Daphnia pulex: one gene and its partners. The protein of the gene in region 2 interacts with the protein of the main gene of each other region in a pairwise test. Links are inferred from orthologs where the notes say so. Each region holds a gene or a part of one and is shown on either strand. Other genes may lie near its edges.

The links.
Region 1: the proteins of coatomer subunit beta'-like (region 2) and coatomer subunit alpha-like interact in a two-hybrid assay, tested with the Homo sapiens proteins (2 studies listed by BioGRID, with this or other methods). The link is inferred for Daphnia pulex from reciprocal best matches to the Homo sapiens genes COPB2 and COPA.
Region 3: the proteins of coatomer subunit beta'-like (region 2) and coatomer subunit beta-like interact in a two-hybrid assay, tested with the Homo sapiens proteins (2 studies listed by BioGRID, with this or other methods). The link is inferred for Daphnia pulex from reciprocal best matches to the Homo sapiens genes COPB2 and COPB1.

The regions. Positions count from the first base shown.
Region 1 is NC_060025.1:3,016,985-3,027,926, reverse strand, and holds coatomer subunit alpha-like, read right to left. Parts: upstream 5,258-10,942; 5' UTR 5,152-5,257; coding exon 5,072-5,151; intron 4,985-5,071; coding exon 4,837-4,984; intron 4,775-4,836; coding exon 4,220-4,774; intron 4,146-4,219; coding exon 3,935-4,145; intron 3,868-3,934; coding exon 3,494-3,867; intron 3,421-3,493; coding exon 3,268-3,420; intron 3,203-3,267; coding exon 2,605-3,202; intron 2,541-2,604; coding exon 2,332-2,540; intron 2,270-2,331; coding exon 2,087-2,269; intron 2,019-2,086; coding exon 1,609-2,018; intron 1,541-1,608; coding exon 1,366-1,540; intron 1,290-1,365; coding exon 885-1,289; intron 821-884; coding exon 584-820; 3' UTR 322-583; downstream 1-321. Other genes in the region: guanine nucleotide exchange protein smcr8a-like, read left to right, coding at 28-321; GDP-D-glucose phosphorylase 1-like, read right to left, coding at 7,692-7,813, 7,891-7,956, 8,071-8,222, 8,302-8,402, 8,476-8,578, 8,731-9,056, 9,279-9,464. UniProt on the Homo sapiens protein: The coatomer is a cytosolic protein complex that binds to dilysine motifs and reversibly associates with Golgi non-clathrin-coated vesicles, which further mediate biosynthetic protein transport from the ER, via the Golgi up to the trans Golgi network.
Region 2 is NC_060017.1:7,290,305-7,300,934, reverse strand, and holds coatomer subunit beta'-like, read right to left. Parts: upstream 7,298-10,630; 5' UTR 7,133-7,297; coding exon 7,130-7,132; intron 7,059-7,129; coding exon 6,900-7,058; intron 6,838-6,899; coding exon 6,760-6,837; intron 6,692-6,759; coding exon 6,577-6,691; intron 6,516-6,576; coding exon 6,367-6,515; intron 6,298-6,366; coding exon 6,041-6,297; intron 5,979-6,040; coding exon 5,646-5,978; intron 5,583-5,645; coding exon 5,383-5,582; intron 5,316-5,382; coding exon 5,074-5,315; intron 5,013-5,073; coding exon 4,870-5,012; intron 4,794-4,869; coding exon 4,351-4,793; intron 4,292-4,350; coding exon 3,555-4,291; 3' UTR 3,273-3,554; downstream 1-3,272. Other genes in the region: fork head domain transcription factor slp1-like, read left to right, coding at 1-132; uncharacterized protein LOC124197376, read left to right, coding at 8,250-8,324, 8,403-8,622, 8,685-8,951, 9,014-9,271, 9,337-9,704. UniProt on the Homo sapiens protein: The coatomer is a cytosolic protein complex that binds to dilysine motifs and reversibly associates with Golgi non-clathrin-coated vesicles, which further mediate biosynthetic protein transport from the ER, via the Golgi up to the trans Golgi network.
Region 3 is NC_060020.1:2,116,391-2,127,260, reverse strand, and holds coatomer subunit beta-like, read left to right. Parts: upstream 1-5,823; 5' UTR 5,824-5,975; intron 5,976-6,130; coding exon 6,131-6,511; intron 6,512-6,575; coding exon 6,576-6,836; intron 6,837-6,899; coding exon 6,900-7,092; intron 7,093-7,162; coding exon 7,163-7,281; intron 7,282-7,339; coding exon 7,340-7,468; intron 7,469-7,532; coding exon 7,533-7,795; intron 7,796-7,867; coding exon 7,868-8,179; intron 8,180-8,242; coding exon 8,243-8,465; intron 8,466-8,525; coding exon 8,526-9,038; intron 9,039-9,114; coding exon 9,115-9,356; intron 9,357-9,419; coding exon 9,420-9,678; 3' UTR 9,679-9,895; downstream 9,896-10,870. Other genes in the region: dentin sialophosphoprotein-like, read right to left, coding at 1-76, 149-2,084; uncharacterized protein LOC124192347, read right to left, coding at 2,468-2,797, 2,862-3,132, 3,196-3,690, 3,762-3,966, 4,026-4,250, 4,510-4,576; START domain-containing protein 10-like, read right to left, coding at 10,008-10,091, 10,161-10,283, 10,356-10,483, 10,544-10,696, 10,767-10,870. UniProt on the Homo sapiens protein: The coatomer is a cytosolic protein complex that binds to dilysine motifs and reversibly associates with Golgi non-clathrin-coated vesicles, which further mediate biosynthetic protein transport from the ER, via the Golgi up to the trans Golgi network.

The DNA of each region.
Region 1 (10,942 bases), on a different chromosome or scaffold from region 2:
AAGTATTATTTCTTTGATCCTTGACAGGAGAACAACACTATCACTAGTCTGCTTGACAAATGGAATCATCTAACTCAGCCAGAACCTGAATTAGGGGATCAAGAAAAGAAGCTTAAGCCATGGCATTTGCTCTGTCCCATAGGAATCTCAATTGTGATATCAGGTCTAATATTTGTGTATAAAATAACCTGTAGACCTCTGGAAGATCAGATCTTGGACCCAAAGGTGATTTGTTCAACTTATGATTTGTTTACCAACGTAAACCCCGATAATGTTGATTTTAAAGCTGTAATGTCTCAATTAAACAGTTTTATATTATGATCAGTTTGTATCGAGAATTCCAGAAAATAAATCAAGCAACACGGATATGTTTAGAAGATAGCTTTATAGTTTATACTTGAATTAGAACTGGTTCTCCAAAGGTGTTTGTTGTATAACTTCAATGTATCTAGTACCCCAAAATTAACAAACCAACATAGCAAATAGCGAAAGAAAAATAACAAACTGTTGATCAAAAGACTGGGGTTCGGCCAGTTGATAAAATAAACGATACTGGAATTATCAAGGGACACGAACGTTTCGTTTATCGAAATTGGGCGGTACTAATCCGCAATCCGATGCAATCCTTTCCAATTTCAGCAACGGTACAAACTTGACACAAGGATCCCTTCAATGAAGGTTGGTAAATTGAACTACAAAGAGGGCACTTTTCTTCTGGTTTTCCGCGATAGATGGGCGTGTAAGTTTTAGCGCACAAGTTGAACGGGTTGTGCTCATCGTAGTGGAGCTGGACTTCATCATTTGCACCTTTATCGCATGCCTGTGGACACAAAATAAAAAAAAATTGAGCATGAGTTACCACAATAAACTTCCAGATGAAGTACCTGAAGGATTTTGCGAGTTTGTTGCGCCACTTCGGGTTTAGGTCCAAGTTCCAGGAGGCGCCGGGCAAAGGAGGCCGCAGTGCGGAAGTTTTTGAGTTTGAAACTAAGATTCAGCGCCGTTCTCAAAGTTAAGATCTGATGGATGGGTTGCAGCTCTGAGTGGGTGAAGTAGGCTGCCATTTCACAGCTACGCTTCTGATCCTCTAAACTCTCCTTGGGCAAATCTTTACGAGCAGCTTCCATGCTAAGGCCAACAATATACTCCCGACAGATGGCAATTAATTCTTGGGCCTTGCGAACTTCTTCTTTGTTGTCGACCACCAAGAGTGGAACATTTAACAAAAGCAGGCGGAAACGATCAACAGCTTCGTTGAATTTGCCAGCAGTCGTCAGTTGATAGCAGATCTGTCAACCGAATTAAATATAATTTAACTACTTTCCCAAATTGAAAAAAAAAAAATAAAATAAAATGATGGCCTACCTGAAGCCTTTGAGCTAAATCAGCCAAGCGAACACCAAGTGCAGGTAATCCGTGAACTTTAGAGGAGGCAGCAACTTCCCTCCAGTTACGCTGTGGGTATGCGGCCAGGGAAGGTAGATTAGGCAATCCAGCAAACATAGTTCGTGATTTGGCGAAGGCTGCGGTAAACAATGGCCTAACGGAGTAGAAAGAAACGCTATGTTATAAGCAAATGACGAAGGAATTAACAGTTATTGTACGTACTTGAACGGTGCAAAATTAACGACACCAATCTGGTCATGGAGGAGACGGAAAGCAGATTCATAGGAGCCAGCTGAAGCGTGATCAATAACCAATTGCGAATGAGTGGCCCATCCTTGCAGAGGAGGCTGACCACGAGTGGGTGGCACGTAATAACCGCGGTCTTCGTCTTCACCTCCATGAGCAGCAACGCTCAAATCGGATGGTAACTCTAAATCTTCATCACCCACTTCCCAGCCACCTTCTTCATCTCCGCTCTCGGCATTGCCAGCCGATCCAACCGGTTTATCTTCATCATCAAGACCAAGATCAGCATCATCTCCCCAGCCATCAGGTTCACCGGCATCTTCCTCGGTAGCAACAGCAGATCCAGAAGCAATGGTACGAGCTGCCATGGCTCCATCGAAAAATCCCTGTTCCAGTTCATTTCAAATGTTAAAGTTCCCTCCCATTAAAATCTATCAAATGAACAATGGCGTACCTTGGAAACGGTCAACAATGGCCAGTTGGATTCCGCCTGAGCAATTGGAGGAGGCGGCTGCAAGAACACAGCAGATGGATTTACAGTAGGTACTGGTTGACCGGCTGCTTCCAGTTGTTGTTGCAGTAGTTCGGCCTCTTCATTAAGCCCATGGGTAGCGGCAGTAAGGAAAGCCAAGCTCGTCTAGACCATGTTTAAACATTACTATCATTCAAAACTTAGTTAACTGAACCGTCCCGTATTACCTGTCCGCAGTTACGAAGCACCTTGACACGTTCTTGCATATCCCCTAGCAAAAGGGCCGATTGGTATTGACCCGAAGTGTCCTTGCGAATTTCAGCAATCTTCATCATCTTTCTTAGCTTGTCGAGGTTGCCAGTAATCAGATACAAAAAGGCCAACTTGTTGAAATTCTTTGTCCTTTGATAGCACATCTCAACGACCTGGTGGTTGCCTACAGATCCAATATAAAGTAAGTTAAACATCATTAAAAAAAAACTAATAGCGAGAATCCTGACCTTGAAGAAGGGCAGCTTCGCCAAGTTTCTCCCAACAGAACTTGTCGTCTAGAGCCTTGGCGGCTTCAAGAGCTGCTTCAATGTTGCCACATTGGAGAGCCAGGGCCAGTCGAGTCTTTTCGTCTTTGACAAAGTGTAGGGCAACCTCTGGATAACCTTTTTGCTGCAAATAAGCGATGATCGATTGGCCGACAAGTTTGGCGTGTCGAACCATGTGCAACACTTCGTCGTACTTTCGGTTGACCAGGGCCAACTTGAAGCAGTATTCGGTGGGATCCACCTGGAACATGCGAGGACGGGCATCGCGATCCAAACAGTAGATAGCCTTGCCCTTGACACGGGTGAGATACACGGGCAGATCTAGGGTGCGGATGATGCCGTGATCGCCGTTGATCAATGAATACTTGATGTGGTGGCTAGTGGTGTAGATCAGAACACCCGAATCTTCCCAGGTAGCAGACTTGAGTCTGGCGTTCTCCTGGATGGTGCACAGCACTTCAAGACGACGGTTGGCGATGGTCAAGACGTGCTTGCCCAGTAATGCAACGTGACTCATGTCCGCCGACCAAACGACATGGCGACATTTGGTCATTTTAACCTGCATAGAAAATTTTGAATGAACATGGTTGTTCTTGGAATGACCTACTTGCTTAGTTTTATTACCTGTCCAGCACTACGTTTCTGTTGGATATCAAATAAGGTCAAGCCTTCCGTATCACGAAGTAAAACGCATCCAGTACCAGCATAAAAGATTTCATCACACGGAGGTGTCTGAATTTTCTTGCTGACTTCGTTCTTTTCGTTTTTGATGACGATCTAAAAAATGAAAAATGAAATAAAATTATTGTAGAAAACCAACATTAACCCGGTGTTTATAGTCGTGGCATACCGTGTGGTTACGATCCAAGACAGCAAAACGATTGCGAGCGACCCAGATGGCAGTCACACCTGTTGAGCGTTTTCCATCGCCACCATCTTGCGGACAATCGGCTTCAACTGGAACCGAGTAGAGCTCGTAGATGGAATTGTCTAAATTGGCAGCGCGAGTGACAACCAGAACAGACTGCTCGGCAGGATTGTACGAGATGCTGTGGATCGGCGTGCGAGCGTTGCCCCTCAACTGCAGCAAACCGGTATCTTTCGACGTGGTAAGATCCAACCGACGAAGGGTACGCTCCTTGACGTAAAATAGCAGATTGCCGTGCAAGCTGTACGCAGGCCTTTCTCGCTCCAGCTTAAAGATCACCATTCCGGAATCGTGCCCTGAATAAACAACACATTAGCATTATTAGCGTGATCCAATTTGAAATGTTACAGAATGTTAATTTACCTGCTGCGAATAGACCCAAAGTTGGATGGGCAGCCATAACCCAGAAACGGTCGTGTTCACGACGGAAAGTGTTGAGGCACGTCCTCTTCGTGAGGTCCCAAACGCGGATACTCTTGTCTTCCGAGTTGGAAAGGATCAGCTCTTGTTTAGGATGGAACAAGACGCAAGAAACATTGTTGTAATGGCCACGGCACGTATCGACTTCCCATGCCTGTTCACAATACGGAGAAACAAAAAAGTTATTTTCAGAAGATTAACAAGTCATTTCTGCTGTGCTCTCGTCACCTTAGATTCACTCATTCGCCACAACTTGATCTGGCGATCGTCAGCACCCGAGATGACCAACGGAAGTGTCGGATGAAATGCTGCCCAATTCACTCCGCGATCGTGCCCCTCCAAAACATGGCGAACAACTGCGTCAGCTTGGCCAAATAAATCGGTGGCTCCAGGATTACGGAGGTGTTCATCGAGACCTCCAGGTCCAGGTGCCACATTCTTTTTTCTCAAACCTAACAAAAATAGAAATAATGATGTGATCTTGACAGTGAAAAATGGTTGACAACTGTTAATACCAGAAATGTCCCAAACTCTGACAGTTTGATCCAGGGATGCAGAAACAATCAAATCTTCTGTGGGGTGAAACTGGGCACACATGACATAGTGGTTATGGCCAGTCAAAACAGATACACAAGCTCTGCTTTGCCAGTTCCAGATTCTAATAGTTTGATCATCAGAGGCGCTCAAAATCCATGGGTATTCGTGATGGAAGACTGTGGTACGAATGTAGTCCATGTGGCCAGACAATGTGAATTGACAGCGCCGCAGCTTGTAGTTCCAGACCTAAAGGAACAGCATACATTATTGGCATTTGTTAATTTGTCAAGTCAGGCAAGGGTGGGTACCTTAATTTTGTAATCATCGCCACCAGAAACAAAGAGGGGCTGCTGACTATGGAAACAGATTCCACGTACAGGTCCATCGTGCTCATCGAATTTATCCAGCAACGCACACATACGATAATCCCATAGTTGAATTACTCCGCTATGCAAGCTAAATGACAAAAATTCAATTAAAACAATTCAGACTTTGACAACTGCCGACTTCAAGACGGGAATCAAAGTATGCAAAAACACGTACCTCGTTAGAATCCATGGTCGCTTGGGATGGAAGGAAAGGCCTTTAACTCTGGCCGATTTCGTTTCAAATTTAGTTAGCATTTTTGCGAGACATTAACCGGTGAACGGTCACCAAATATAAAGTATACAAGTCTCCGGAATAATGAAATGACAGAAGAGCCACGTCGCTGAAGTAGTCAAGATAAACGCCACCTACCGATAGGTTCATATAATATGAAGGTACTTCACGCTAGATGGCATAGTTCAGTGCGGATTTGGCTAGTTTTTTTTTTTTTAATTTGAATTGCCAAATTCTTCTGGTGTTGGTGAACGAAGTCAACGTAGGCGAGTCTTATCTTGTCGACTTAGTTATCGTTAACTACGCCCAAGGAATGATAGAGCGTGCTTTCTAATGTTGAAGTGAATTGCTTTAAGAAAAAACTCGATAAGATGAGTCAACAATCGAAGAGAACTGTATGAAATTTGAAATTCCACTTAAACGAAGATTCGAATGTTTTCTTTTTCGTGTCAAATTCAAGCCAAGTGTACTTTTGACAATACAAATTACGAGATAAGGGATTGTCGCATATTCGTAATTTCTTTTGAACATTATTCGTTAAAATGTAAGTTAACGAAAAACGAAATTTAAAAAATAAAAATCCAAGTTGATTATCCCGAAATTTACGATTAATTGCCGGTTCAACAACTGCAGAGCAAGTTTCTGTCCATGGAATGATATATATACGACCGCTAGACGAAGCGGATAATCATCAAACTAAACAGCGATTCATATCACCATGACGAAATTCGCAAAAGGGAAAAAAGCTTTTTCAAACCTGATCGGATACGTGATTACACTTATCGTTGTGTGGACATTTTTAATCTGTTTTGTCAAACTACCTCCTAATCAACCGGACATTAATGGAAAACCAATAAAAATAACATGCAACGAGTACGATAAAATTAACTATCCGATGAAATCCAGTAACCCGAGAGAAAAATACAGTGTCTGTTTTCTACAAGGAACATGTTTTTGCTGTGTAAGTCTCTTGATGTCAGGCATCCTACTCGCAAAGAAAAGATTCCGTTCTGTTTCATCATCAAACCGTTCTGCAGGCATATTGCTGGTGTTGTTTCAACTTCTGCTATGGATTGTAGCGTTGATTACTGGAGGTGTTTTCGTCTGGCTATGGGTGAACAACGGTCCAACTGAAACTCTGGCTCCAAACTTTCTAGCCGCCTGCAAACCGAACGGACTTGATGTGCTTTGCAGTCCCGACAATCATCTCGATGGGAATCCGGTTGTTTGGGTCACATGTTCAACACCTCCGGAAATGTGGATCCCCGCCCTATCCAATGCGCTGCCCACACTAGCGGCAATTCAGGCTTACCTTATGTTTGCAACATTATTGCAAATGGATTACTACTGGAAGTGGGAGGAAGAGGATGATTCTGCAATGAAAATTGTCCAAAGACTTTTCGGTATAATGGGTCCAGTCTTCACCTTTCAAATTGGATACTTTGACGTCATCTCGCCTAATCTGGCGAATTTCGACCAAGAACTGGTTTCCGGCTACCTGAAATGCTGCGCTGTTGCTTGTGTGTGGTTAGCAGTGGATAGATTTTGGACGAAAACTAAAAAAGAACCAAAACTTCCACGTTACTGGAATGACGTTCCAGCTAACAATGAAATCGCAGCCCAATCTGGCCAAAGCACCACAAACCTGACACCACCCCCCACACCTACTCTGCACGAACCTCCAGCGACGACAGGATCAGGAACGACAACAGGAGAAGCAACAGAAAATGTGTATCAGACCATTTACCCGAATCTGCCGCCGGAATATGAAAATCCCCCCGCCAGTTACAGAGACTCGGTCATCCGGAATTAAACGAGTTGGGAACAGCTACCAATTGAGATCCGTACGTCACTAAAAAATGTTATTCATGTCTGGATTTAAACGTATGACGATTTAATTTCATCAAATAAATTTCAAGTTCAACTTCACTCACTTCATTTCATGTTTCAATTATTTTAATTAAAACGTAGTATATTAGTTCTACCTCTAATATCACGGTAGAAATCATTTCTAACATATATGTCTAGTGTAACTGCGGTTAACCTACAGAATCACGACGGTCGTGACCAGCACAGAACAGAATTTTACGGCGTTTTTACGGCGTTAACCATCATTTGACATTGTCAAATGATGGTTGAATGGGGGAGGGGGGGGTATAAATTACCGGAATTCCAGCCCTTTAGAATTCCCCCTGCGAATCTATCATCGTAGTTTTGTTGACAACATAATTATCACGTCAAGATGAAATATACACAAAAACCCCCCAGAATAAAAAATTAAAATAGTTTAAACAACTGTGTTTCACTGGTCAGCGTTTTGTAAGAGACAACGAAGGCAAAAACAGCAAACGACCTGAAATTGTTTCAACCCAGCCAAACGTGGCCCGGCTCCAAATGAAAATTGATGCAAACCGAAATAAACCGAAAAATCGTTACTGTTGTCTGTGCTGTGCACAACCTCACGGAACCAGTTGAGCTGGTCGAGAGAAAAAAGCTGGCGCGATTTAATTACAACAGGGTCATTTACGTCAGTCATCTGTCAACTGGGAGCGATCGTTTTTGACTACGTGGCAAAAGCAAAGAGATGGGCAATCTGGGCGCCGACGCGCTCGAACCAGGGTGCCGTGATGCTGTCCAGCAGTTGGGCGGCTTCTTTTTCCGTCACGACCTGGTAGGCTGGTGGCTCTGAAATAAATGCAAAATGACCTCAAGACAGTTATAGTCGAAGAAATTATGCTGATTCTTCACAAGTTTAAACGCACCTTTGATCAAAAGGTGGCCGGCCAGCTCGCAAAGTGCAGGGTTGAATCCTATTTCTTCTTTGACTCCTGCGGGCAAAAAGTGGGAGAGAAAAAATGCCAGTTAAAAGGGACGCTGCGCCACTTGGAAATTTATATCTGAGTATTATATTTTCTCTCTTTTGTTCTACACGTCCATGTTACCGAATGCAGGTTCTCTGGCCCAGACGAACACGCGCAGCGTATCGTAGACATCGGCGGTGGTAAGAGTTCCGCCGAAGCGTTTCCCTCGAGTCACGAACAGATTATGGGCAATCTCGTTGGCGCAAAGGTAAGAGACCAAAGTAAACACGTTCCTGCACTCCAACAATGGCCATTCAACAGCAGCAATAAATTATCGATCGCAACGATGAAAAGTGTTTTCGATATGTATACTTGGCGAGGAGTGCTGGATCGTTATCCGTCAGCTGAAATGCGAAACCTTTCGATGGGAAATCAGTTAAAGCGAAACAAGGCCCAGCGATTGGCTCCACAGCCTATTGAAAACCAATTATTTTTGGGGGGGGGGGGGTTTATTAAACAATTATAATGGGAAATCAAATGGCATACCGCTGTTTCCAGGTAGAGCCTCTCACGCAAATAATAGAGATGGTAATGCTGATGATTGACAGATGCATATCCTCCGGGGCTGTTGAAACCGGCCTTCAAATTCCTGCACGTAAAAGGACGAAAAATAAAAGGGAAGAAAACGTTTTAATAAACAATCGTTATTTACTTTAGCCTATTGAGGCTTGAGTGGTGGTGGTGGGGGTTTGCCTGTGTACAGACGAGTGGTATATTTAGAATGGCTTTGTATATACTCACACATCAGTGCTCAGGAGCATTAGCCTCACAAGGAGATCAAGTCCCTCTTGGGTGATTCTCTGAGGGATGTTTGCTGTCACATTAGGGACAAGTAGACTGTTGCCAAACTCCAAAGGACTGACATTGATTATGACAACAGCATCAGTAGCCTCATTGTCCTTTATTTTGCCAGAAGTTGCTGCCGCTGCTGCTGCTTTATTGCCAGGCTTCAACAAAACCTCTTGGGCAGGAACTTTGTTGAAGTTGAATAGAGTGCCATCAAAAGGACTGTTGACTTTCTGCAAGTTTTGGGGCAGCCGCCGCTGGGTTGCCCTGTCTGAATTCAGCTGCATTCATATCGGGAAAGACAATATAGAGTTAAATTTATTGTTCCTTCAGTCCTTTTGCTCGTGTCTGCCTGGGTGTGTGTGGAGCTGCAATTGTTTTATGACCACAAACTTTTCGTCAACTTCATGCACATAAGTGTGTGTCAGCTACACGTTGGCCAGAATAGGTCAGCAACATTGGCAAAATGAATACTTTGAATAGGTTATTTAGTGATGTAATACCTGTGCAACGAATCCATATTTCCCCGGAAGAATTTTAGTTTGCAAGTTGGTGAGTCGATACCGGCACACACCAGCCTCTGCAGCGATTTCCCATTGATTTTTCAAAAGACTATCAAACCGACTGTGAACGGGTTTTTCATTGGAAATGTTCCATATTAAATCGTCGTCGTCGAAATGGAACTCCATTCCAATAGTGAAAAAAACGATTCCACGTCACCAATTTAAATATTCAAGTCGTTCGTCAATTTTTCAAGCAGTAGAAAATGAGTAAACAATCACAACGTTGTCACGTTTTTCCAATCGATCAAAATTCTTCTTTTTTGTCAAATCGGGAAAAAGAAATTGTCGCTGTGCTCCTCCATCATTTTCGATTCGATTCAAAAAATAGCTGCCTGGATGTATGAAGAATCCAGGCCAGCAGCAGTCTCGCAACTTGATTTTTCCGATTTGAGCGTTGATTGAGATGGAAAAGGGGCCGTCGTGTGTAATACTGTAGATTCACGCCATTGACAACAAGTCTCCAAGGCGAGAGTATGGAAGATGACACCGAAATAAAGATACACACACCCGCGTCGTGCTGCGGTGTGTGTGTGTGTGTGTACATGTTTCCCAACTCTGATGATGAAAGCTAAATTCAAGAGATTTTTTCTAACGAGGTGAGAGGGGATCGCTTGTGCTGGGCTGGCGGCTGCCGTGACTCCCGGCGTGACTCCCGGACCATCACACGAGAGGAAAAAAGAAATGTCTGAAACCGCACGCTGGCTGAAAATAGTTCGTTTGCGGGGGCCACACGAATGGAAAGAAGAAAGAAAGAAAGAAAAAGAAAAAATCAAAGAGAGAAATGAATGTAGGAGAGAGACTGCATGCTCCTGGAGCAGCACAGGAGCAGCAAAAGCGCCTTTTCCCAGTTTAGCTCGAGTAACCGGTGCCGGCGCAACGTTGCGTCTTCACGCTCCCGGCTATATAGGCCTGTGCACCAGACGTCTTTCCTTTCAAATTATTTTCAATTCGATTTGATTTTTTTTCTATCAGCGAATTTGATCGATTTGAGAAAATAGAAACGTGAAAACGTGACGAATTAGCCGAGTGAAGTGCGGATTGACCGGAAGTTGCCGTGCTGCGGGTGCTTGTACACGAACTGCTGTATTTTGTTTCATTTTCAAAGGGAATTATTATATAAAAGATAAGGGGAAAGTTTGTTTTTCCAGTGTTTGCGTCGATGTGTTTCCCGGTTATAATAAAATAGGCCGCAACAGAGAAGAAGTTGCTGTTTTGTATCTCTCACGTCCATCGCGTCCCGTCGGGCCCCCGGAAGAGGATCCTGAAAAGAGCAGCAGCAAGTCCCGAGGTATATAAACTATACTGTACAACTACACTATACTCTCCCAGCAGCTAGCGTTACAACAACAACAACAACAACACACTGGGCTATGCAGCAGCCCGTCTGCGGTGTTTAGAAACAAGCGAAACGGAATTTTTCCATCGCAGGAAGTCTCGAGATATTGTAAAAAAGCGGAAGCTGCGGATGCCATCCGACTTGGTCATGAAAAAACATTTCTTTTCTTTCTTTTTTTCATTTTTCCCAGTTTGGCTTTTTTCCAGGAGAGGCCAAACAACAACAACGGAAAGAAAAAGAAATTCTTTTTTGGTCCGTTTTGTATTCT
Region 2 (10,630 bases):
ACGTCAGCCGCCGCCGCCGCCGCATCTTCTTCGGCTGATTTGCCGGGCAGTTTCCCCGTCGCCAACTCGTCGTCATCGTCATCGTCATCCTCGTACCATTACCATTCGTCGTGGAATGATGCCAAAATTTGAATATATTTTATGCTGTAGTTTGTTATACACGTACATACGTACTTCATCAACCACCACCAACCGAAAGAAACAAACCGGAGCGAGAGATTCAAACCAACCGCAAAAATACACGTAAGGACAATTTTGAAAAGAAAAGAAGAAGATATAGGCCACGAAAAAAAAAGAGAAGAAGAAATTCAATCTAATTGTTTAATTTGGTGTTTTTTATTTGGTTTGTTTGTTGTTTGTTTCTCGAATTTCAAACACACATTAAACAAAAAAACAATTATGTATACGAATACCTCGTTCTGTCTTGTTGGGAATCTCACTATATTACACATTCATCGTGCACGGAAAAGAATTGTTGATCGAAAGATTTATTGACCGGCAGCAATTGCACCATTGACAGCACATGGTCATGACACACACATAGGCCTGTATAGCAAAACACGCAAATGCTTTTACCGCAGTTGAGTTGATATTAGAGCCAAAACGGAAACAACGTTGCGTTGGCAATTCGACGGGTAAAGAAGAGTCGTCGGTTTCCGAAAGTGACCCAGTAAGGGAAACCCTATGGAAGCCATTAGTCTCTACAGATTCTCCCTTCTGAAGTTTGTACCCAAAAGCAACCATTCGAAAAATTCTTTACATATAGGCCTTTTATTTCTTACGTAGCCTGCCTACACACTGTTCTGTGAGTCTAGAAGTAGAAGCTATAGCTATGCAGTAGTCTATTATATCTATAGCTTGGGTAAGACATCTGGCCTGCTGCATGGTATATACCAGCCACGTCAGTTGAAAATGAATCGACTCGGGCTCCATTCTCAGCTGCTACAAAGTGACGTGACCATCCCAACGCGCAGCTTCCGTTGGCCACGGGAAATTTCCGACGACCCAGTCGGTCGGCAGTCGCCTTTGTCTCAATTGTTTTTCCATGATTTAGTTTTTAGTATGGCTGGCTACAGCACAGCACACCACCCATGAAGAATAAATTCAAGTTCGATTGGTTGCTGTTATTGTGTCGGCAATAAGCTGGAATTTTCTCTGCTTCGTTCCGTTTTTTACTAGTGCGCGGGAATTTTGAAATTCTTTCGTCGACCAAACGCTTTTTGGTTGGAAAAAGGATCGCGCGGAACGTGTTGGAGGACCGCGCGATTAATGGACCTATACACGACCTCTCGGCCTTTTCCCAAAAAAGAAAAGAAAAGGAAAAAAGAAGAAGAAGAGCCGGCCGGAGAAAAAGGGTCGATAAATCGACGACACTTTCGCACCTGCTTGCCATGACTTTTCCTTTCACTTGTCTTTTTTACGTATTTGTTATATCTTCGGTTTTTCTTATATTCCCTTTTGTTTTCTTCAAACGTTCTGCTGGCGAGTGTTTCATTTGTCCTTGTGTTTGGAAACATTCCAGGATTTATAAATTCGATATGAAATAAGGAAGAAAAGAGACGCAACAGCGGCAAAGCCTAATTTTGGTTTTTCGTGGACAGCCGTTGTCTCTACACCCCAAAAATAAATAAAACAAAAGTTATTCCGTGTGTTTATGACTGGTCTCTGTGTAATCTATGGGTATTGATACAATTTAAAGGAAAAAACTGTCGACTGCGTCCGCTGAGGTCTCATGTATACGCGCGAGCTAGCTTGGCTAATTCAATGTAATATAGCGACAGCATGCGTCGCTATAGACGACTATAGATTGAATATCACGGTTGAAAAGGAAAATATTTTGACAAACAAAGTCATCAATGATCACCAGTGTTTTCTTTATGATTATCGGCTCGACTGGATGCTGTGCACTGCGTATTAATACATCGGCGTGCGAGCTCATTCTTTCATTATCGTAATAACGCACCCCGATTTTATTAGTACACAAAACTTTTGTTGTGCTGCGTTTTTTTGTGTGTGTGTGTTATAGTGAAACGAGCCATGTACTAAACTAATGGAGGGAGGGAGTATTTCCGTAGTAACGTGACTCCAATGTTTAGTCAGGAACCAATTTTAACGAGGGTTAAATTGGCCGAATATAAGATTGTTTTTTTTTATTTTAGAATAACATTCGAAAAAGGAGAACCTTTCGAACTGCGATGGTGTGGATTCGACAAGGAAAAGATCAGGCCGTATCACATCACCTTTAATCGACCGAATATACTGCGATGTTAAACTCCCATGCCTCTCTCCCCCCTCCAACATTCGGTTTTGTTATTTTCGAGGGTTACCTAGTCGCCCAGCAGCTCCCAACTACCTAATGATGGCTAACAGGCTGAAAATCGTGCATTCGATGTCTGCTACTATACAAACCTATTGAGCAACACTATTTATATCTTCTCATTAGGACTATCCCGTTTAATCTCTCTCTCCCTTGTTTTTTTTCTATCCCAGTTCTATTCGAACAAGATTTTTTTACTCAAAAGAGTTTTTGTGGTACAGGGACACAGACCGACTCAGCACAAGCAGCGATTGAATTTCATTTTTAAAAAAATCCCGACAGCCCTTTTGACTGGGCTGCGACCGTGAAGCAGTTGCTGATATCACCAGTGACCTCCCAGTTTCTTAGAAAGGAGATTAGTGTTACTCCCACTGCCCTATCGTCAACTTGTAAGAGTACCCCCTTTAGCTTTAATACACGACTGTTTTTCTCCATTTTTTATTTGTTTTCATTTGGTTCGCTCCGTCTTTCTTATAACCTCGTAATCGGCACCGTGTCACGTGATGGCGTGCCAAACTCAGATTGCCACATTGGCAAAATCATATTCATCCCAAATGGTTAAGAGTTCGTTTTTGTTGTCAACATTCGATCTCGGCTACTACTGGAACTAAATCTCGACCACCCACCCAACGGCATCGGCGAGAGAACATCTCTGTCTTTCGTGAGACCGCTTACTCACATCTAAAGTAGGCCTACCGCAGCTCCTTTAAAAAGACATTACTTCTTGGCAGGTCCGCGGGGGGTTCCGATGACATCACAGCTAAACCGTCATAAATGTCCCGCTCATGTTACCTTACGCGTTTGAAAACTGTTCAGGTCGGATTACTCCACGGCATTCCAATCGTTCTGTGGTCTAAAATACAAAATGGTAAAATGTCATCACACGCATGTAATTTACTTCATGGCGAAGCGCCAAAACTAAAAGAAATTAAAATATTGACATAGGGAGACAATGAAGGATAGTACTTTTTTTATATTGAACTCAACTCATCTAGTTCAAGTATAACAAGAATGTATGTAGAATTGTTTCGTTTGTAGCGAAAGATGGAACGGCGAAACACTTCAATTCAAATTAACTGGAATATCGACATTGTCTTCCACATCAGTGTTGGAGATGTCTCACAAGACAACATTGTTCCTTCAAGAGAAAGCTGAAAACTTGAACAAAATACGGACAAAATATTTGTAAAAAAAAAATTTTTTTGAATAATAATTGGGGTGGTTCACTTCCATATTTTTAATCGTCGAGTAGATCGTCGTCCAAATTCACTTCCGACGTATCGACGTTATCGTCTAGCTCCAAATTTTCCAAGTCAAGCTCCAGATCTTGGTCAAGTTGGCTGGTGCCCTGGGCTGGTTCAGAAACTGCAGGCTGGAAATCTTCTTCGTCGTCATCTAGAAGATTTTTAGGTTGGCTGGCGGCGGCGGCGACTCCCACAGGTTCTGGTATGAGGAGCGAACCGGCGGAAGGATTCAAATTCGTTTGCTCATTGGTTTCTTCAACTTCCTTCTCCTCCTCCACAAAGGACACTTTAGCGGGCGTAACATGATGGAATTGATCGTTCTGTTCGGCTAGTCTCATCTCCTCTACTGGGTGTCTCTCCCAATTGTTGGGCAGCGAAGAGTAAGCCGAGGCCGGCAACTGTTGACGTCTCTGTTCAAGAAACTGTTCCGTCTTGAGAGCATCCATCAAGCCAGGGAAGAGATTGTCATACTGGGCAGGATCAGCCAGGCTTTGGCTAGCTTTTGCATTGACCTGGCTAAGACTGAGCTTCCAGAGCTGGACCACGCGCGAGATTTGGCTAGGCAGATAAGTGCGAGCAAAGAAGGCAGCCTCGGGAATGCGTTGGGTGTTGATCAAGATCTCAAGGCAAGCGTTCAAATCGCCACTCAGGAAGCGCGTCAAAAAGGCAACGTTGTTCATGCCAGCTCCAATTGCGTCATCGCCTAATCGCTGCACCATTTCGGCATTACCTGAACATTCAACATATTAACTATCTGAACAAAGGACGAAACAATGTAAAATGACATACCGGATGCTGTAGCCAAAAGTAGGAGTCCTCCGAAATCCTGTGCCTTGTGAAGACACTCTTGAGCCAACTCAAACTGACATTTGGTTGTGGCCAGATCAGCAAGTTGTTTCCACTTGTGCTCACTCTGAGCCTCGCAGGCTAGTTGGTAGGCCAGTTGCAATTGACCAAGCTGAAGTGACAGTTCGAAGCGATGCTCAGGATCAGCGGAGACTGCCAATGCCTGTTCTTTGAATCCCTGCTTCTCAAGAAAATGAGCCACTCGAGTGCGTTGCTCTTTGGGAACCGACGGGAGCACTCGGTCAGCTGTTTCGAAGTCTCGTCGCATAACTGCGGTTTGATATTCAAGCACCGAGAGTTGCAGGCCGTAGGAAACTACATTTAGCTCCTTGTCGCCCAAGTAAAGACTGTTGTCCTTGGGAATGTAGCCCAACAAGTACATCACTCTGGAAACAAAAGTTACACATGGGTTTAATAGTATCGGTTTGATTATTGCAAGAATGGTGAACTTTCAAGCCATACCTGTCGAGATGGGCCACTGTGACAATTTCCCCACCGACGTAATAATTTAATCGGTTGGCACTGTTGGTGTAGATAAAGCAATCGCCCACCCAAAGTCCCGTCTTAACACTTTCTTGCACTTCAGATAACATTTCGAACGCCGTCTAAACATTCAGAAAATATTTTTTAAAAATGTACTAACACTTTGTCTTTAAATAAAATCACCTCAATTCCGGCATCGTCGGTCAAGCCTTCTTTGGTTTCAAGGCTTTTGGCCACGGCATCAGCATCATAACGCAAAACAAAATAGCTGTCTTCGGTAGAAATGCAAACTAATTCACCATTTTCCGACCAATACACACCACGTGGCTGGATCTCAATCCGACGAATCAGTGTCAGATTGTCCCATTCGTAAAAAGCTAAGCTGTTGGTAGACCGGACCCCAAGCATTGCTCCACCAAAGATTCCTGTGAATGTAAAATTTTAATTAGAATCAATATTTCATTCTGTTTTCAATTACTATGCACAATATACCTTCGGCTCCCAGCTCTGGTTTGAATTGTTTCTTTTCCTTGAAGTTCTTAAAAACTTTGACCGACGTGGCACTTTCACGAACAGCATACTCGGATGAGTCCACTGCCCACACAAACTCCAAAGCTGAACCGAAAGCTTTGTTTCGCAGAGCCATAGCTGTATAGATGATGTACTCGCCGTCACCACAAACAACGACGAATCTATTATGAAACGGAATTTTATTATTTACTGGTTTCTATGCCATGAGCAGTTAGCAAACATACCTTCCGTTTGGATTGTGAGCGACAGTTTGAGGGTAAATCTCGCATGCACCCATATCCTTGATGGCAAGAGGAAGACGTTCTCCATCCTTGATCTCCGAGTCCGGCAGCGCTTTGAGATTGGCCTGCTGGATCTCTGAATGTTTGGCCCAGATAATTTTACCGCTTTGATCCATGGACATTGCAGGTTCCTCTCGGCCCAATTTAATCATGATAGATCCTTCATCGTAGCCCAAAGCGATGTTATTAGACCCAGGCAAACAACAAATGGTCCAGACACGCTCCAGCCCATAATTGAGAGTAGTCTCCAACCGGTAGGTATTTGAATGCCATACTCTACGATTTAGAGAAAATAGTATACTTGACTAAAAAATAAATAAAGAGAATAATAAATTTACCTGACTGTTCCATCTTCAGATCCAGTAAGCAGAATTGGAAGTTCGGGGTGGAAGGCAACAGAAGAAATATTCTGTGCATGCCCTTCCAAAGTTTGGACGCAGGTTTTATTCTGGTAATCCCAAATTTTAACAAGCCGATCATCTGCACCTGAAATTAAGTAAGGTTTGTCGCCGGCGTGGTAATAGTCGACGCAATTTACTCCTTTCTCGTGGCCTTCAAGAGTGAAATTCGGTGTGTTCGAGCCCAACTGCCAGACCTGAATGAGGGACCGTAATAAATTGATTTTAAGTTAAATTTCTGGCAAAATATTTTCGTAAAAACATACCTTGACTGTTCTATCAAGAGATGCAGTAGCAAATGTATTGTTATCTTTTGGATTGATGACAATCTGCATAACATAATGGGTGTGACCCTCAAAGACTTGTTGGCATGCCCAGTTCTTTTCCCAATTCCACAACTTAATTGACATATCATCTAAAATGAAGAAAGACTGTATGAACACTGAATCTGTTAGAAAAACAGATTATTTACATACCACTGCTAGTTAATAGAAAGGGTTGAGTGGGGTGCACAGCAATGCAACGAACATAGTCTGAATGAGCTTCAAATGCTGTCACACGATCAAGTGTGTTGTAGTTGAACACTCTGACCTGGAACAATTTAAAGAGGATTAAACTATATCTAATCTGAAATGGATAAGACATCAAGAAAACTATACCTGCATATCATCAGAACCACTAACAACCCAGTTTTTCCTTGGGACAAACTTGACAGCACGAACAGGCAGGTCACAAACCTACAAAAGGGCAAGTAATGGTCAAGTCATTAAGGAAGAATTCAATGAAGTACTCATTTTACCTCAAAAGATTTGATGATTTGTTGTGATTCATGGTTCCAAATATGCACATTTCCATTATACAAGGAGGCCAACATCCATGGCTCTGTTGGATGCAAGTCGACACTTTTCACGCGATCCGAACGGGCGGTAAGCCTTCTCTTGATATCTAGTTTCAGCGGCTATAAAAAATTATAACATGAAATTAGCTCAATAATTGTTATGATTTAAACAAGTAGTATTAATGTTAAACCATTTTGTTGTGAGGATTGTTGAATAGTTCTACTACGTGGCCGGTTGATCTGTCATCACTGGGGGAGGAGTGGAGCACAAATAAACATTGCCAGATAGAATCATTAGCCAAAATACTAAATTGCTTCTTTTCTATCAGCTTTTACTAATATTGTGTGACCTCGTCGGGAGTGTAATTTTCAAAACTATTATGAGCTATTTATTCTATACATTTTAAGCGTACCCTGTAATAATTCAAAATTTGTTAAACTATTTCGACAGTGGCAACATCACATCAGTTCAAAACAAACTGCCCCGCACAATTTATCAATGGAGACAGCCACGATCATTATTCGAGTCATCCGGTCGTTTGAATATCGAAACATTCGCAATGTGGTTTTAAAGAATGTACCACTTTCCCTTACAACTGAAGAGTTGAAAACTAGAATAATTCAAGAGTTGGGTGTTGCTCCGGGACTGCCACCACCTTTTCGAAAATACGAATATGACACTTTGAAGGTTATTTGAATAACATCTTACTGCTATTTTTATGTATTTGTTGTTTTTTCTATGGTTTTCTACAGATTGAGCACCATGCACATGGAGCTAAAACAAATGATCCTGTCATTAACCACGAGAATGATGAAGGTCTCATCCTTAAAGCGGAAAGGACACTCAAGGAGAGTGATGTAAGACATGAAACTGAAATTTCATTCTTCAAATATGATGATTACATGTCATACAAAAAAAATCCAGTTTTAAAGATTGGATCAAGATAATGAATTAACTGCTGAAAATTTTTGCAATTCATTTTTCTTGATTGCCTGAAACAAGCAATCCTCAGGGAATTACTTGGGGTCTTTTGATTCTTATTTTTAATTTTGATGATACAATTGTGAATAATACACCACATTTTTCCTTCATCCATATATTCTGGAATAATATGTTTCAAATTTTCAATCATCACCTAATTGTCAGATAAACACTGTTGCAAAAGTTATAGCAGACGAAATTAAGTTGCAAAGGTGAATTCAAAACTCGAAAGCGTCGGATGCTATGTTCTTGTTGGTGTTAAGAGAGTGGCCTACTTGTTGAAATAATGGATCAATAATTTCGAAACTATGAAATGACAATCCAACACGATGGACAGATTGAAAAAATGCTGGGAAGGAATTTTACAAGAAAGAGATAATTTTTGGAGTTCCTTCTTCACTAAGGTATTTTAATGTCAAATTCTCTTCAAAGAGCTATGCAGACCTGATTCTAACTCTTGCGATTTATACATACTACTCTAGTACCAAGAAGACAAAAAAGACGTGGATTTTCGATCTTATTTGGATAATAGTTCGACAAGGATTAATACTGTGCTGGAACTAGCAGCTGAAGAGAATAAAGAGTCTGCTGGGGCTTCGAAAGGCTCGGTTAAAAAAGTGATACAGCACTTTGAAGAACAGTCTAGTGAGTCATCAGAAACATATTCTAATGAAGTGGCTACTTCATTGAATGAAAACCAAGGTAAGATAACATTTTAAGAGTACAAAACAAAATTTAATATTGTGCCATATTATTATTCACAGAACAAGAAAACTTAAAATCTGATGAGCCTTCAGTAATATCAGTGAAGAAAACTGTGCCTACATTAGTTGTGAAAGCTATTCCAGCAAAGCAAAAAATTGATGCTCAATATTTGTTAACAAAGAACTCACCTAATTCAGTCAACAAATTAATTTCCGAGTCTTCAAAGAGCTCAGATTCTACAGTGTTACAGTACTTTAAAGAACAATCTAGTGAGTCATCAGAAATATATTCTAATGAAGTAGCTACTCCATTAAATGAAGAAAAAGGTGATTCTTATTCAAGTAAAAAGAAAAAAAAATGATTTTAATGTGCTCTATATTGTTCACAGAAGAACAAAAAGTTGAAAACTTAAAACCTGTCCAGCTTCCAGCAGTATTAGTGAAGAAGAGTGTGCCCAGATTTGCTCTGGAAGTTAATCCAGAGAAAGAGAATGCAAAATGCAAATCACATTCACACAAAAAATTCATTTCTGAGGCTTTAAAGGGCTCTGATTTTAAAGAGTTACAGGACTTAGAAGAACCATCTATTAGTGAGTCGTCAGAACCATATTCTCATGAAATAGCTACTCCATTAAATGGAGATCAAGGTGAAATAACATTTATTGAATATTTTTAACAATTTTTATCTTATTGTGCTGTATATTGTTCACAGAAGAAACAAAATTTGAAATTCTGAAACCTGTCGAACTTCCAGTAGTATTGAAGAAGATGAGTGTGCCTACATTTGTTCTGGAAGTTGATTCAAAGGAAGAGATGGCAAAATCCTTGTTATCAAGGAACTCACATTCATCAAAAAAATTCAAACTTTTTGAATCTTCACCGCATCCCAAAGAAAATGTTGAAGACTCTATAATTGATGATCAGCACCAATCGTTTCCTATAAACTGTAATACCAAATTTTTAAATGAAAGCATTGCGTCGACTCTCTCGGACGACGATTCATTCAAAAAATCGATTTGTCGTCGTTTAAAACCAACAAGGAAGATTGTCCCGAATCCCAAGAGATTTAAGATACTGTAACGCTTAAATTTTACGTTTTAATTGTGGACAGATATCTTACCCTAGATTTTAAATTTCACTTTCTTATTGAATATGTTTTCGAAGATTTCTTATAAATTCAGTGATACCTATTTTGTTAACGTAAATTCCGAGGCGTTCACTGGGCAATTCTCAGTTCAACAGCAGTGCCACCAGTTTTTGTTCACCACTCATTTTTCTGTATACGAAGTAGTACTCAAATATTTAGAAGATGAAAACATTCAAACTAGAAACTTAAATAATCGCACGGTCCCGTTCTGTATGGCTTACCAGATTGTATTCGAAAAAAATGTGCTTTGAAAATTTGTCTTGACCATCAGTTGCATCATATTTAAATCTTGGAATAAAATCAATGAAACTGTGCATGCGTCGATTATTCTTGAAAGAGCGTTGACCACTCCTGCGGTACATCTAGTTTTCACGGCCATAGTCGGACAATGCTCTACAAAGCTGACACTCCAACCACGCCCAAATCGAGTTGTGAATTAACTTCGTACTGCTACCATTTCTTGTCTCTCAACACATTAGTAGTGCTCGTTGAGTGCCGCCGACTGGCTATAATTTCTAATTCAAGACGGTTTCGTAATTAAATTCAGATCACCCGCGCTTCAATTTCTCCGCCCGGGAGAAGAAGCGCGCTTCGCGTGCAGCTTCTTCAATCCGCATTTCAGGGCGATAATATGCAGGATCCTTTTTTTGATTGATCGATCTAGGACAATAAGGTGAACAAGTCATGACCATCCTCCCGCTAGTCAAATATTTAACCTAAGAAGATGCCGCAATGCTTTTGTTATTTTGATCTTTCTTGGGACAGTGCCACTCGGGTGAATTTGCATTATTTCAATCTGGCGTTGCTGATGTGCTGCGCGAACAACACGAAGTATATAATTAGCTCTTCTTATTTTCTC
Region 3 (10,870 bases), on a different chromosome or scaffold from region 2:
TCTAACAGCTTTTGTGCTCGCGCCTTATCGGATTTGCATCCCTGCCATAATGTCTCGTACCTTGGAACTCGAATGCCTGTAAGTCACATTTCAAATTGCAATTCTAGATTAATCAATCAATTATTTTTATTTGTGATTTGCTACTGACCTGCTTCTTTTAGATAGCGTTGAAGCCTCACTATCTTTCCTCCAGGTTTAACCTTTTCGTCCTTTTTAGATTCCTTTTTAGCAGTTTTTTCTCCTTTTAATGCGGCTTTTTTCTTCTTCGGAGAAACATTTTCCGATTCTTCATCACTAGAGGAAGAGCTGCTTGATGAGGATTCAGATTGCTTAGAAGCCGAACCGGATTTTCCTTTGGCTTTTTTGGTGACATCCTTCGATGCGGCTTTTTTCTTCTTCGGAGAAACATTTTCAGATTCTTCCTCACTGGATGAAGAGCTGCTTGATGAGGATTCAGATTGCTTAGAAGCCGAACTGGACTTTCCTTTTGCTTTTTCGGGGACATCCTTCGATGCGGCTTTTTTCTTCGTCGGAGAAACATTTTCAGATTCTTCCTCACTGGATGAAGAGCTGCTTGATGAGGATTCAGATTGCTTAGAAGCCGAACTGGACTTTCCTTTTGCTTTTTCGGGGACATCCTTCGATGCGGCTTTTTTCTTCTTCGGAGAAACATTTTCTGATTCTTCATCGCTGGAGGAAGAGCTGCTTTCCTTGTTGTCGGATTTCTTAGAAGCTGAATCGGACCTTCCTTTTGCCTTTTTGGTGACTTTCTTTGCTGTTAAATCATCGTCACTGTCGCTTTCAGAGTTTTCCGAACTGCTTGATTTTTCTTGCTGTAGAATTTTCTTTTTGCCCTTGAAAGAAGTTGTGACTGCATCCGAATCCTCATCACTGTCGGAACTTGATTTTGCCTCTGCGTTTTCTTCCGTTTTTTGAGGTTCCTCCATTTCTACATCTTCTGAAGAGCTGCTAGCACTAGTTCCGTTGGAGTCATCATCAAGTGTTTCCAATATGTCACGTGTATCCAACTTTTTGGTCTTTTTAGGATCAGAAAGCTTAGAGTTTGGAGTTTGGTTCTTTTGGTCAACGCTGGACTCGCTTTTTGTTGGTGACACAACACTCTTATTCTGAACAGATTCATTCTTCTTACTGCTAGCAGGAGCTGATTTCTTCTTGGTCATTGTAGAATCTGCTTTATTCTTTTTACCGGTTGTAGAAGTAGGTTTCCTCTTCTTTGAAGCTGGGAATGGTGTAGCACTTTTCTCTTTAACAATTTCATCAGAGTCACTATCAGATGACATATCTAGTTTTCTTTTGATTTTAGAATTAGCTTTTTCTTCACAGTCAGATTCGCCGCTTCTTTTTCTTTTAAGATCAATTTTCTTACTAGTTTCAGTCTTCTTAGATGCTTTCTTGGTACTGCTCTTGGGTATTTCACTCTTTTGAATATCAATATTAAAACCAGAAGCATTATCAAGAGCCACAGTGTCAGAACTGTTAGCTGATGAAGAATCAGATTCGGATACAAGTTTTGATATTTTCTTCTTGCCACTAATGACAGTCTTTTGTTTTTCCTCTTTCTTTTCCTTTTTCTTAGGGGAACCTAAAAATTTAATTAGCGGGACATCACTCGAATTAGAGTCATCATCCACTTTTGACAATGAAACTGGTTTGCTATTTTGCTTCTCATCTTGATCAGTAGAACTATTAGATGAAGAATCAGATTCAACTATGACTTTCAGCATTTTCTTCTTGCTGCTACTGCGAGCAACAGTCTTTTCTTTTACCTCAGTTTCATTTGTCTTTGCGGAAGCCACAAATTTGATGAGAGGAACATCACTTGAATTTGAGTTGTCATCTACTGTTACCAATGATGAAGCTGGTTCGTTTTTTGGCTTTGAAATATTGTTCGGCAAACTCAAAGGAGATTTTGCTTTCAATGCTTCATGATCATTCAAGCAAAGTGAACCTGAGCTATTGTTAGCAACAGGAGATTTGATGTCTTTCAGTGGTGAATCTGGAGTGTTAGACTCTGACTCGGAAGACGTTCCCGAATCAAGGGCTTCCATTACTTCATCGTCCATTTTGAATTTTCAAATATTTAAAATAAGCTGAAAGGTATATAATAAATTTTACTTGTAAATTCTAAACGACGAAATAAAACAAGTAATTTCTAAAGACTGTTCCAAAAAACTGGGGAAGTGAAACTGAGTGTGTTTGGCGGGAAAACGACAAAACCTTAACGTGTTGAGCGTGGATTTGTGGTCTGCTAAATGCCTATATTCGCCATCTAGCGATACTTTTTAGAGTCGATTAGCCTATACTGAATTAAAATTTGAGAAATACTGTCAGCAATTTATTTAAATTCGCTGTTAATATACCATTTTACCATATAACGAAATTAATTACATGAACTCATAATGTAAATCAATAACTTGGGGATAAATATTCAAAAACAGATAAAGACTTATTTGGGGTCGTCTTTTATAGCTGCTCCAAATGCAGAAAGAGCCAATGTTTCGACAAGCATTCTGGCATCTTGAGATTTAGAATGTTCTCTTTTATTGCCAACTGTTTCATCTATGAATAATTGCTTAAATTGGCGTTTGAGACGACGGAGCAAATTTCCAGAGTTCCAAACTTTAGTCATCTCTTGACTCAAATAAGTTACAATGCGTGCCGTCTCCAAATTAGTGGGAATTTTACCATCTTGGCATAATTTAAACGTGACTAATGCTTCGTCAGGTCGAATTTTCGTAGGCTTAAATCGCACTCCTACCAGTTTCCCTCCAACTTCCTAAAAAATATACACAATTATTTTAATTACAAAATTCATTTGAATCGAACAAGTTGTTGCTGACCGTCATTCGAAGTCTAGCGGAAAGCGGAGGCAACGATACGCGAGATTGTGGAGGGAATCCTGGTTTTGCATCCATAAAAAAATGGAGTGGGCCGATTATTAATGTAGCATCGACATTGTGTGTGGTAGAATTTTCTCTCACTCCAATCAAAACATCGCCCTCCCTTTTAATCTGATCAATGCCTTCCACAGTAGCACTTGGTCTGCGTGAATTGCGTCGAGATGAACCTCGTTTACCCTCCAGTTTCTTGACCGGGCGGCCAGTGTCATCTCTGTAAACGAAACAGCAAATTAAAATGAAAGCTGTAATTTCATTGCTTTAAGTTAGGTATTACTGAAATTTTTCTGATGAAATATCCTCATTGAATTCCAGTTTTCTTTGCTTAATATCGTTTTCATTGAGCAGCTGAAGATTGTACTCGATAGTGCCGTCGTCGAGCACAACAGGAGATGGCTTTTGGGTCCGATAAAACTGGGTTGCATTAGTCTTCTGTGGTTGTTTAAAATTAAGGGAAATTTCTGTGGCTGTTTCATAATCATCGTCGTCGTCATTCTCTTCTTCAGTTGCTATGATCTCTTTTTCTTCCGAAACAGTGGAAGACTCTTCAGCAATACTTTCGGTTGCGATTTCGATTGCCGCTTCCCCTTCCACATTCGTCTCATCATCATCGACGTCTTCATCACTTTCGGTTGCATCGCTTTCAACTGCTTCCGTTCCGGGATCCCCAGCGGCTCTTTCTGTACGAATTTTCCTTTCCACTTCGGTTGTTTGCGTTTCATTTATTGCAAGGAAAGCCCAAGGAGATATTTTCATGTCCTCGCGAAAGTTGCTAATGACGAGAACAATACAATGTAATGAGTAAATGTATAGAAAGTTTTTAGAAAATTATAATAAACTCACTTCAATTTTAGTGAAAACGTTGATGAATTTTCGTTGGCTAAATTTAGAGACAAACTCTCGAGCATTTCATCCAGAGCTTTGTTCAATTGATCTGTACTAGACGAACGAGCCAAGTATTGAATTGGTTTAAAAATGGGTCGTTTATTCTTTCCGTATCCTTTCTTGTCATTCTGTGGGCGGCGTTTGCGTCCATTGGGTTTTTTACCTAGTGATTCAGAAATATGTACAATATCACTAAATAAAATTGGGACTTTTAAAAATTACCTTTCTTCCTCAGTTGATTAATACGATTCTGACGTCGCTTATTATTTCGACGTTTCTTTTTCCTGCTTTGCCTTCTCTCAACACTTGTAGCTGATGAAATTTCTTCGACATTGACGTCGACTGATTCTACTTGAAGATCCGGAAGTAACAATTTCGTTTCATTCTTTGCATTGATCACGGATGTTTCGATTGTTAGGCTGCCCTCCAAACTTGCGTCTTTTTTCTCTGTATTAGAAAAATGAAATGAAATTTGTTTGTTGCTTGATGAACAAACTTAAGTTAAATTTACAGTTAAAAACTCAACCAAAGTGTTTTTTAACTGAAATTATTTTCAGTTAACGCCCTTTGATGGTAAGGGGCAAGGCACTTGGAAGCGATAGCAATACAATAACAGTTATCAGAAAACTTAGCGTGAGAGTTTCCGAGTAAGGTTATTTGAAGGGTAAAATTACGACATTAACGGACTTTTCAGTGAATTCCTTACCTTCACTGAAATGTGACAAAACAGGCGATACAAACAAAAAAACTAAAAATAGAAGGAACAATCGCATGATGAACTCTCAACAGCGAATGACGACACCCCAATTAAAAATGAACTCGAAAATCAGAAAGTCTTGTATACTGGCCGATGACTTGGAGCCGTCTGTTCACTAACAGCAGTTGTCTTTCTTTATAGCTAGCTGTAACATCATGCTCTGTGGTGCCTGTGAGGAAAAAATCAAATGTCTTTCCGATTGCCGGTGGCGTCAAAAGAAGAAGACCCTAGTTTCCCTCTTACGGGAAAGCGTGATGTTTATCTATCGTGAGGATGGCCTCATTCTACCCACACGCTTTTTTTAAATATAAGATAATTTCTTTTACGTTGAAAATATAACATGTTTGCATTATAAAACGTTTTTTAAAAATTTAAAGATATTTTACTTGAATACTTGAACTTTTTTTAGATGGAAGGCCTACCAACACAAAAAAAACAAATTTTAAGGAAAGATCATCGTAGACGCAACAATGATAGTCGCGGAAATTTCCATGATTCCTTTTGCTCAATGCCTCAGTTAGTTTAAAACGATGAAAATAAATAATAAATGAAAAGTATCCTGAACAAACATAATTACATTTGATGCTAATAACATAAAACATAAATATTTAATATCGATTAGCTATAGGCTACAGTGAGCCGAGCGAACCAACGAAGTAACGACCATATTAAACGTATTAAAGCTGGTAACTACGAAATAGAGATATAACGGCCAGTACCTTCGGATGCTAATCGTTTCCAATTCTAATTTTCTGTGATTAATGGCAAGACGATTAATATGCAATCTGCATATTGTGAAGCAGTGAAGGTATGGAGATTGTGGCCATCTGCACATTCTATTTCGAACGAACATTTCTATTATCAAATAACTAAGAACAAATTGTATCGTCTCTTAAAGGCTTTGCCGATTAAATGGACGAAAAATTCTAACTAACTCCCATCAAAATACCTTTACACATTGAAAACAAACTGACCATTGCCGAAGATGGAGACGTGACTGGTGCTGGTCTTCAAACCTGCTTCAAACGTGTCGAAGAAGTTCACAGTGGTTCAGAGAAACATGGGTGACGATGACTAGGCAGTTGACACATTGTTTATCCGGGAAACCCACAAAAACTCTTGTTTTGATGGTACAGAGAGAGAGTATGCCTGGAAAATCTGGAAACCAACACAAGCTGGGACTGAATATCTATTTTGAATAAAAATAACAAAAAAACAACGTCAAAATTAAAACTCATAATGGCAACATGGCTGCGTGGTTGTCAATTTTACGAATTAAGATCTGTCGCTTACCGACTGACGTGGGTATTTTCTGACATTCTGCAACGTCAAAGGTTTCGTGAATTTCCTTCGTTTCATATAGTTACGGCTCACACAGAAAACACAACAAGCCGTTGTAATACAAAGAAATCAAGGCAAGTCATCCGACATTTTGGAATCGTTATTCAGTGTTCAACAAATACCATCGTTATAGATTTCGAATGGGTTGCGGGTCGCTGTCACAATAACATTTCATCGAGCGTAAACCGGTCCAAGTTTTCACGATTCATGTATTGTTTTGTTTTTACAGATGTCTGTGACTGAGCAACCTTGTTATACCCTCATCAGTACTCCAGATTCTGACTATCCACCTCCAGATCAGCTGCGAAAAGAGTTGGAAATTGGAGATATCAAAGCCAAGATTGATGCTTTAAAAAAGGCCATTTACATAATTTTAAATGGAGAAAAGATTCCAGGAATCCTCATGGCAGTGGTCAAATTTGTGCTGCCACTTCAGGATCATAATGTCAAGAAACTTCTGTTGATATTCTGGGAAATCATTCCAAAGACTTCAGCAGATGGAAAACTCTTGCATGAAATGATTCTCGTCTGTGATGCTTACAGGAGAGATTTGCAACATCCAAATGAATTTATTAGAGGATCAACATTACGTTTTCTTTGCAAGCTTAAGGTAAGCCAATTTCTTTTATACCTTAATTTATTGATAAGCTAATCTTTTGTAATTTACTTTTTAGGAACCTGAAATCTTAGAACCGTTGATGCCATCGATCAGGTCGTGTTTGGAGCACCGACATTCTTACGTTCGACGCAATGCTGTTTTGGCAATTTACACAATTTACCGCAATTTTGATTTCCTCATTCCTGACGGGCCAGAATTGATTGCCAATTTTCTAGAACGTGAACAGGACATGTCCTGTAAACGTAATGCATTCATGATGTTGATTCACGCTGACCAAGAAAGGGCGCTCTCCTATCTTACCTCTTGCATCGATCAAGTAATAGAACTATTTTAAGGTTTCCAATTTCCAAACAAACTTAAGGAAAACAAAATCTGTTAGGTTCACTCCTTCGGTGATATTCTGCAATTGGTCATCGTTGAACTTATCTACAAAGTGTGTCACGCCAATCCTAGTGAGCGATCGCGTTTCATTCGTTGTATCTACAGTCTCTTGAATGCCACCAGTCCGGCCGTTCGCTACGAAGCTGCTGGCACTCTAGTAACCTTATCGTCCGCACCGTCGGCTATTAAAGGTATTATTCATATTCACTAATATTTAATTTGGGTTTCCAACTTAATATGTTTTCTCTTCTTCTTGAACAGCTGCTGCTAGTTGCTACATCGAAATTATCTTAAAGGAAAGCGACAATAATGTGAAGTTGATTGTGCTGGATCGTTTGATCGCCTTGAAAGAGCAGCCGAATCAAGAACGTGTCTTGCAGGTATCTTGAATTTAATCATTCACATGTTACAAAATATTAATTATGTAATTCATTTCAGGAATTGGTGATGGACATCTTGCGGGTATTGGCTACTCCAGATTTGGAAGTACGAAAGAAGACACTATCCCTTATACTTGATTTAGTGTCTTCGCGAAACATAGAAGATATCGTGCTCGTTTTGAAAAAGGTAAGAATTCCGGTGAAATGGTAAATCGATAGGAATAATTTTCTATTGATGAATTATCTTGTAGGAGGTAACAAAGACGCACAACACAACCGAGCATGAAGATACGGGAAAGTATCGGCAACTTTTGGTGCGCACTCTTCACTCGTGTTGCATCAAGTTTCCTGACATTTCTGCGACCGTCATCCCTGTACTGACTGAATTCCTTTCCGACACCAACGAGCTAGCAGCCGCCGATGTTTTGGTCTTTGTTCGCGAAGCGATTCAGAAGTTCGAAGGACTTCGTCCATTAATCATCGAAAAACTTTTAGAAGCCTTTCTTTCCATCAAGTAAGTTTAAATAACTCCATTTCGTTTTTACTGGCAGCAATTCTACATTAGATGTTTTTTTTTTTTTCAAAGATCCGTCAAGGTGCACCGTGCAGCAATTTGGATCTTGGGCGAATACGCCACTTCGGCTGATGACATTCGTTCAGTTATGTCCAAAGTGCGACAATCGCTTGGCGAAATTCCAATCGTGGATGACGAAATCCGAAAAGCAGCAGGAGAGCAGACCGATCCGGAAAATCCTTTAGCACAGGGAACTGGGAGCGTTACTAATCCTGTTGCTTCTAGCGCCCGCTTGGTAACTGCAGATGGTACATACGCTACGCAGTCTATCTTCAGTGCTGCCGTAACAACCGCCAAAAAAGAAGAAAGGCCTCCTCTTCGAAAGTATGTCAATTCTGTTGATGTCGTTCCATTTAGCATTGCATTCATAATTAAATTTCTTTGTAGATATCTGATGGAAGGCGATTTCTTCATTGGTGCATCAATGGCTACAACTATGACAAAGCTGGCCTTACGTTTTGTTCAACAAGTGTCGAACCCGCAAACGCAAAACCAGTTTTGTGCCGAAGCCATGCTAGTGATTGCAGCGATTCTTCATTTGGGTCGTTCGGGACTGCCTCAGAAACCAATTAGCAATGACGATGCTGAAAGATTGGGGCTTTGCCTTAAGGTAAGTTATCAATGGTAAAAAATGAGTGAACCCCCATTACAATTTTCTTTTTCGACATAGGTGCTCTCGGATCGATCACCGATTTTAGTAGAAGTATTTACCGATGCCTGCCGTAGATCCATTTCACTTATGTTAGCTGCCAAAGCTGAGGAAGAAGCTGCTGCCCAAAAGAACTTAGAAAAGAACAGCCGATCAATCCAAGCCGACGACTTGGTCTCTTTCAAGCAACTGCTTTCACGCAATGAACTTGGTGGCCTCGAAGACGTATTTGAATCAAGTTTGTCGCAAGCTTTGGTAGGATCCGCTCAGCGAACTGGATTAGATCTGAGCGTCTCAAAACTGAACAAGGTGACGCAGTTGACTGGTTTCTCTGATCCTGTATACGCCGAAGCGTACGTAAACGTGAACCAATACGACATCGTACTTGATGTTTTGATTGTCAATCAAACGGCTGACACCCTTCAAAACTGCACGTTGGAATTGGCAACTCTCGGTGATCTGAAACTGGTAGAAAAGCCTTCGGCTATCATTTTGGCTCCGCACGATTTCGCCAACATTAAGGCCAGCGTTAAGGTATGCTCTTTTTAATTATTACTAAATGAATTATTACTAATTGTTTTTCATGCCTGTATTTATCCATTAATTAAAGGTGGCATCGACGGAGAATGGTATTATCTTTGGAAATATAGTCTATGATGTTACTGGCTCGACATCGGACCGTAACGTCGTGGTACTGAATGACATTCACATTGATATCATGGACTATATCATGCCTGCCAGCTGCACTGATGCTGAATTCCGACAGATGTGGGCTGATTTCGAATGGGAGAACAAAGTCACCGTCAATACTAATATCAACGATCTAAATCTTTATTTGCAACATCTGCTCAAGTAAGTGGGATCATTTCTTTTGTCCTTCTAAATTTCCTAGTATAAATTAATTTCTTTGTGTAGATCGACAAATATGAAGTGTCTGACTCCAGAGAAGGCACTAGCTGGTGATTGTGGATTCATGGCAGCCAACTTGTATGCTCGTTCAGTCTTTGGAGAAGATGCGTTAGCTAATCTCAGTTTAGAGAAACCATTCGGTAAACCCGACGCACCAGTTACAGGACACATTCGAATTCGTGCCAAGAGTCAAGGAATGGCTCTCAGTCTCGGCGACAAAATTAACACGATTCAAAAGGCTTCTGTAAAGTCTCCTGTGGCTTAAAATGTAATTGTAGAATTTTCCTCTACAATTATTTCCATACTTTTTTCATTCATTTTCTATGATTCAAAACTTTTCCCAAATTCAAATGTCTATTTGTTGCAAGTATTTTCCCCTCATCTACATTCTTTTAGAAATATTTGGAATGCAGTTGTTACTTGATTAGTTTTGCATCATCAATATAACTGTGGGCTGTTATATTAAAATGTAGTTCACAATTGCTGCTCTTTGCATATAAAATTAATCAATGCATGCAAATACGGAACTTTGAGATAGGACCAAAATTAAATTAAAACTAGCATACTTGTGCGCGATATTGGGAAATGCTTAACTTAAATTGACGCCATTTCTTTGCTGTCTCGATTGTTCCCTTTGTCGTTCAACATAATCTTGTTAGCACCATTTACAGTGGTGTTCTACATATTTTAAAATCACGAAAGTTAAACAGGCGTTAAATAGGACAAAGCATTTAAATTTCACATTACTTGGTCGACTAGTAGTTTTGGATAGTCCATCTGTTCAGGATACAGCCATGGCTTAAAACCCGGACTATGTAGCTGTTTCCATTCTAAATATCCCCGACATGCTTTGTGCAACGTTTTCATCATCTATAGTAGATTCCAGGAAACAACTTCACAGTTATTAACTTTCTGCTTTCAATAAATTTTTATTTCTATTACCTTTGGTGCAAAATATTGAGTGCCTTTATTGACGGCCCAAGTGGGAATTGCTCCTCTGGGATCAGTTGCAGACACATATGCGAGTGTCAGGCCCTTGGATTTCCCCGGTAAAGGTTCAATTACGTAGCCTATGCAGAACAACTTTGCGGTTAAGTATTGCTGTGAAAAAGAATTTGTGAAAAAGAAACCTGTTATGTAGGATATTCCTCTGACGAAATATTTTTTGGGGGGAAGGTCTTTGTGCGTAATGGAATGATTTAGGATAGAAATTTTCTTGGGAGTGGCTAACCACGAACGTTGAAGGACGAAATCGCGGTTCTGAATCGGCGGCGGGCACGACACTACATATATCGACCAAACCGTTATTAGGCTTTGAAAAGAGAACTTTCCCCAACCTTCAAAAATACTCACTGGCATAATAACCAACATCATTGTTGGGATTTAAGAAACCCAAAGTATAAGACTCAACCATAGCAGTATCCCAGAGTGAACGATACTCCCCATCCATGAGGAGG